Linked DNA regions of Saccharomyces cerevisiae S288C. The protein of the gene in region 2 interacts with the protein of the main gene of each other region in a pairwise test. Each region holds a gene or a part of one and is shown on either strand. Other genes may lie near its edges.

What was found. Proteins that work in one complex are often made in the same cells at the same time.
Region 1: the proteins of OCA4 (region 2) and OCA1 interact in binary tests that used the Saccharomyces cerevisiae proteins (3 or more experiments, as listed by UniProt).

Annotation. Positions count from the first base shown.
Region 1 is NC_001146.8:438,067-441,213, reverse strand, and holds OCA1 (putative tyrosine protein phosphatase OCA1), read left to right. Parts: upstream 1-1,930; coding exon 1,931-2,647; downstream 2,648-3,147. Other genes in the region: PLS1 (Pls1p), read left to right, coding at 295-417; Ras family GTPase RAS2, read left to right, coding at 644-1,612; MIC27 (Mic27p), read right to left, coding at 2,897-3,147.
Region 2 is NC_001135.5:287,670-291,176, reverse strand, and holds OCA4 (Oca4p), read left to right. Parts: upstream 1-1,918; coding exon 1,919-3,007; downstream 3,008-3,507. Other genes in the region: YCR095W-A (uncharacterized protein), read right to left, coding at 1,380-1,538; aminophospholipid translocase regulatory protein CDC50, read right to left, coding at 3,240-3,507.

The DNA.
Region 1 (3,147 bases), on a different chromosome or scaffold from region 2:
TCTAGATAAAATATTCAAATCGATGGTGATGACGGCACGATAAAACGTAATAAATGATGAAATGACTTGTCACGGCGTAGCAGCGCCAGCAGCTCAGTCTAATCGCCGTACAGTGGGTGGTGTGGCTAATCGCTTAGGCTTTTTATTCAGAAGGACCTTTTCATTCACCTCGCCCCCCTTGGAGGTTCCTGCCTGACCCCTTTGCCCCTGGCCTCGCCCCTGCGCCATGTCTCTGCCTGGAGCGTGACATTTAGGACGGTGAAGCTAGGCAGGCCTTCAGAAATTAAACGGAACATGACAGCAAAGACGAAACAAAGCTGGAATAAGGGGATCTGGGAAAACGGGAAACAAGGTTCACATCAGCAAACATTTCTACCGAAAATCTGGGTAAACATTTATAGTACCCCAACATCTTAAGTTTTAGCCGTTGTCTTCTCTTATCGCCTAGAATCGCTCATTTCAAGCGTAACGCAATCCGGCTTTTGTTTTTTTTCCATTTTATTCATCCACTCTTTATCTGACTCTTCTGCACTATATTAATCAACTAGGAGAAAATTACTTGAGCAGAAAGATACGAGAGAATTACGGATAAAAAAACCAAGTTAACCGTTTTCGAATTGAAAGGAGATATACAGAAAAAAAAATGCCTTTGAACAAGTCGAACATAAGAGAGTACAAGCTAGTCGTCGTTGGTGGTGGTGGTGTTGGTAAATCTGCTTTGACCATACAATTGACCCAATCGCACTTTGTAGATGAATACGATCCCACAATTGAGGATTCATACAGGAAGCAAGTGGTGATTGATGATGAAGTGTCTATATTGGACATTTTGGATACTGCAGGGCAGGAAGAATACTCTGCTATGAGGGAACAATACATGCGCAACGGCGAAGGATTCCTATTGGTTTACTCTATAACGTCCAAGTCGTCTCTTGATGAGCTTATGACTTACTATCAACAGATATTGAGAGTCAAAGATACCGACTATGTTCCAATTGTGGTTGTTGGTAACAAATCTGATTTAGAAAACGAAAAACAGGTCTCTTACCAGGACGGGTTGAACATGGCAAAGCAAATGAACGCTCCTTTCTTGGAGACATCTGCTAAGCAAGCAATCAACGTGGAAGAGGCGTTTTACACTCTAGCACGTTTAGTTAGAGACGAAGGCGGCAAGTACAACAAGACTTTGACGGAAAATGACAACTCCAAGCAAACTTCTCAAGATACAAAAGGGAGCGGTGCCAACTCTGTGCCTAGAAATAGCGGTGGCCACAGGAAGATGAGCAATGCTGCCAACGGTAAAAATGTGAACAGTAGCACAACTGTCGTGAATGCCAGGAATGCAAGCATAGAGAGTAAGACAGGGTTGGCAGGCAACCAGGCGACAAATGGTAAGACACAAACTGATCGCACCAATATAGACAATTCCACGGGCCAAGCTGGTCAGGCCAACGCTCAAAGCGCTAATACGGTTAATAATCGTGTAAATAATAATAGTAAGGCCGGTCAAGTTTCAAATGCTAAACAGGCTAGGAAGCAGCAAGCTGCACCCGGCGGTAACACCAGTGAAGCCTCCAAGAGCGGATCGGGTGGCTGTTGTATTATAAGTTAATAAAAAGGAAATAGTTGTAGAAACGCTAAGACGAAAAGAACTCTATAAAGTTGAAACGAGTACACACATTTATAAATATATACAAAAGTAAATAAAAAAGTGACTGTTTTTATATTGCTTATTGCCATTTGCTATTTCCGTTTCATTCTTGTTAACATTGGAAACTTTGGGCAATATCATATGGTTGCCGGGTAAAGGAAAAAACAAACAACATCGCTATAACATAAAATTGGACATTGCAGAGAGTCATCAATCACATCCATTTTCACAAGAAAGAGGTGTTCCACCTGGAATAACAAGCTTCTCTTTCCCCTTAGAATGACATCTAAAGTTGGTGAATATGAGGACGTTCCAGAGGATGAGTCCCGCCTCACAGAAGAGAACGTATCCGTACCTGAAGAAGAAGTAGAAGACGAAGACGAGGAAGAAGACGACGATGATGATCATATATATATCAATGAAGAAACAGAATCTGGTCGCGAAAAGGTCTTGGTATCACATGCCCCACAAGAACGTATCGTTCCACCTTTGAATTTCTGTCCCGTTGAAAGATACCTCTATAGATCTGGTCAGCCTTCACCTGTGAATTTCCCCTTTTTACTAAACCTAAAACTGAAAACAATTATATGGCTGTCTAACGAAGAACCTCAAGATACCCTCCTAGAGTTTTGTGATACTCATAGAATAAACTTACAATTCGCAGCCATCAACCCGGATGCCGGTGAGGACGATAATCCATGGGACGGTCTCACTGAACATTCTATAATTAATGTACTACAAACGATCGTCACTCAAGAGAATTATCCCTTGCTAGTGTGCTGTGGTATGGGAAGACATAGGACTGGGACAGTCATTGGATGTCTCAGAAGAATAATGGGTTGGAACTTAGCCAGTGTATCCGAAGAATATAGACGCTTTACTGGTAGCAGAGGTGGTAGAATTCTTGTAGAGTTGCTTATAGAAGCTTTCGACACTAATTTAGTAAAAATAGACAAAAATAAAGCACCAAGTTGGTTACTGACAGCTTTGGAGTAGAGGCAAGAAAAAAAAAATGCAAAAGATAAAGAAAAAGCACTGAGCTTTATGACCATTTACCTAAAGTTTGAAATGTTTCAGGATGCACGGCCCATTCGCGAACCAACTTCTAAAGATCACACGAAATGAAATTCAAAATAAATGAAATTTATTTAATGGGTAATTTTATAGAATATTAATTATCCGATTTATATATGGACATACTTACTATGGACATGATAATGAACAAAAAAAGATATCCGCTTGATATCATGCTTGCTCCAACTTTTCATAAAGCTGTTCCCTTGCATACCTTATATTTTTTTGTAATGTCTGATCGATTTGACGTTTTAAATCACATTTCTTGGCAACATATCCTTCCTCATAAATTCGTTTCCAAGTATTGTGATATGACTTGACGAAATCAGCTGGCAGTAAATCATTTTCAGTGGCATTGACCAAATTCTGTGATGTCTGTGGAGCCCAATACTTGAATGTAGCTGCTGCCAATACCCATGGTA
Region 2 (3,507 bases):
GTAAATAGACGTATGTATTTAACTAACTTTTGGAAACGTTGTAAGTTCCATTAATAATTTTGGTCAACATAAAGTGGCGAGAAAAACGCCCTGAAAAAACCTTTGTGGTGTATACACTCAATGTGGATGTTGCTTTAAAATGGATTGTAGTGTTATCTTCACGCACGCTTAAATCATTGCAAAAAGTTTTTTTTAACGTAAGTGAAAAAAGACACCAATGCAGTTTTATTAGTACCTGCCAAACAGATAATCGATCATTTATGAGGTCTTTTACTTCACATTGAGTTTTTGTAGCTCAACAGTCTATTTATCAAATATACTTGTTGGAGACCTTACAAAAGTGTCTTTCTACATCTCAACTTAAAGTGATGAAGTTGACAAGGGTCTTACTCTGAAATTCCATCAGAGTAACTACGGTAATCTATATGGATTTCTGTTGGTCTTTAGAACAATCTCTGAGGATGAATTCAAGACTCACCTTCCAGTACATAGTAATCGTAGGCCCTTGTCTGTTATTGTAGAAACTTCTTCGTTGAATTTTAATAATGTGAGACGGAAAGAAATACAACCATATGAACAATTTTTTTAATTGTTAGTTATCCTGCGAACTGTGAGGACCAGTTTAATATATGGGAGGAGTTGAAAAAAATACAGTTTTAAGACTTTAAGCTTTCACGCAATCACTTACATTCTTTTGTGTGTATGCAGGCTATAGCTATCATTGAAATAGTAAAAGAAAGCAACTCCCGTCACTTTTACCATTGGTTCTAGAATGGGTTTGCAGTATGAAAAAAAATGAACGTAAAGAATATATTTCAACTGTCATTTTTAGCCCATTTCGAAGAATGATTGAGCACCGTCATTGATCGCTTAAGATGGCTAGCTTCAACATAGCGGAGTACATTGGAAAATCAGTGATCATTCTGTTGACTTCGTTTCAAATAATTCAGGTCAATATAATGTTAGAGTGTTCAATTTAGTGGGCAGTTTGTAACATGTATTATTGAGCAAGTGAGCTCTGATATCAGAGACGTTAACATGCAACTCAACCAAGTTGACTCATTCAAGTTGTGCTAAAATGGCCGTAGTGGAGGGGAGGGCCAGCGATGCAGGCGACACCAGCAACAGTTGAAGTTAGTTTTACCATTATGTTCGCTTTGCTTGTTAGTGCTGAATAGACTATACTATAAAAGGAGCAATGCAGGATATTCTCCAAGGCATAATGTGTGAAGTGGCCTATTAGTATGAATATCTTAGCAGTTGTTGCTGCTCAAACGAATCATTACACATCTCAAATCATCCTTTGTTCACTTTCTCTTTCTGCACCTACATCACCGTCTTTAACTGCCTTTATTGAGATGTGGCTGCTCCTGACCTGTTCACCTTTTATAAATCTTGCATAGGAAGGCATGCATTGAACTTTTTTTATTTACTTTCGTATGTTCAGACGAAAAAAAAAAATATTTCAGGATTACTTTCCGAAAGAATCCTTTGTATACATGCAATATCCTTAGACCCAACTTGATTAGAACTGTCATCCAGAAGCCCAATGCTCAAGCTTTGAATATCATATTTTAAAAGTTTTTTATGACAATGAAATTTTGTTTCTCCAAGTCAGGACACGGGGAAAATCTTTACTTTTAGTGCTATCCATAAATATACAGTTCTTTAGCCCCATATTTTATCAGTAAAACTACTTATGGCTGTCCTTACCGTATGCGGTATAATGAAACTTTTGAAAGGAACATCTTAATATACCGCCTTGACATATCCGGGTAATAATAATACAATATTCGGAAGTTTTCTAGCATTAAATGGACAGTAAGGTAAAGAAATGAGATGTGGTTGTTATATGGAGATCGTAGAATAAAAAGAGAGACACTTACAGCACTGGTGCGATCCATAACCTGAATTCATAATGCTGGTTCCACCTGCTAACTTTGGGATTGCTGAAGAAGGAATATATAGATGTTCTAAAGTGGAGACATTAAATTTATCCTTTCTGGAAACTCTCAATTTAAAGACAGCTATATTTATTGGAGGTCAAGAACCATCCAAGTTTTTCAAAGATTTTTTCACAAGATCATCCATAAAATGGATTGTTTTAAGGATGTCTGATTTCTCGGCTGCGGCAGTTCCGGTAAAAAGCTCTTCTGTATCTAACGCAAATTTATATTCGAATAATAACAGTACTCTATCATTACAGGAAGAAAAGAAAAAATCCACTGCAAATGGGTCACAAAATTCTACTACAGGGGATCCTGTAATTCAGGAGGAATTGGCTTACCACTTGACTGACAATGATGACTTAATGCTGATTAAGAGCACGTGTTTAAAAAGAACTTTCAAAACATTATTGAATGTGGATAATTATAATGTTTTATTGGTAGATAAGACCGCGTTGGTCATTGGTATACTTCGAAAAATTCAGAAATGGAATATTGCATCAATCATAAATGAGTACAGATTATTTTCTGGTAAGAATAGAAATTATTTTGCGGAAACATTTCTAGAAATAATTAACATTGAGATAGAACAGGAGAAGGATAATAAGACAATTGTGGACAACAAAGCAAAAAAATTGCCCCTTGAGAATAATAGGACGCATTCGATAGAGTATAAGGCCAATTCTGGCAAACTTATTAGAGTAAATGAAGATGACCTTTGCAGAGAGCCAGAAGTGCCTCAGCGGCTTTTGACATTAATAAATCAAATCGAAACCAAAGTGAAAAATAATAAAGTATTACAAGTAAGTGGAGTTCTAGGAGACGATTTGAAGAAAACCTCTTCTGACCTAGGAATTTTTGGCCATAGGTATAGATTAGCATTTAATAAAAAAGAAAATGGAGATTATGGCTATTATAAAGCAAGGGGAAAAGATAACGTCAAAATAAGGATACCCTGTGATTCTGAATTACCAGATTGGTTCAGGTTTCAACGAGATTTGTGGGAAAAAGAAAACGTTCCGGAAGAGCATCACTTTTATAGGGAACATATTTTTACATAGTTTACATTTTTACGTATATGTATAGATGATTTCATGATAAACGTTTTCCACTTTTCTATCATTTCATCATCTAAATGGGAATAGCAAACCCTGGGAGTTCTTTGTCGCACTATTTTCCAAGCGTAAAAAGGCATACTTCAATTTTTCTTTTGTTTACGTTTCAGGAAGTCAACAAAACTTGTTTACTTATAAACACAAATACCTACAGGCACTAAAGTTTGTTTTTTGGCCTCTATAAAATTTCCCTCAATGTTGTATTCTCTGCGTGTACATCCTCATAATCCTCGTTTTCTTCATCATCAAAATTCAAATAAGTGTGATCACCCATCGCTCTTGGTTGGAAGATTAATTTAACCAAAAAAATGATGCCAAATAAGGCGCAAAGCCCTGCAACGATGAGGTACAGTACGCCTAGTGACATATTTCTACCACCAATAGCTCCATTTGTAGTCAGTACAAATGATTTTGTGCCACCAAAGAGTGAAATCGGATAATTCAAC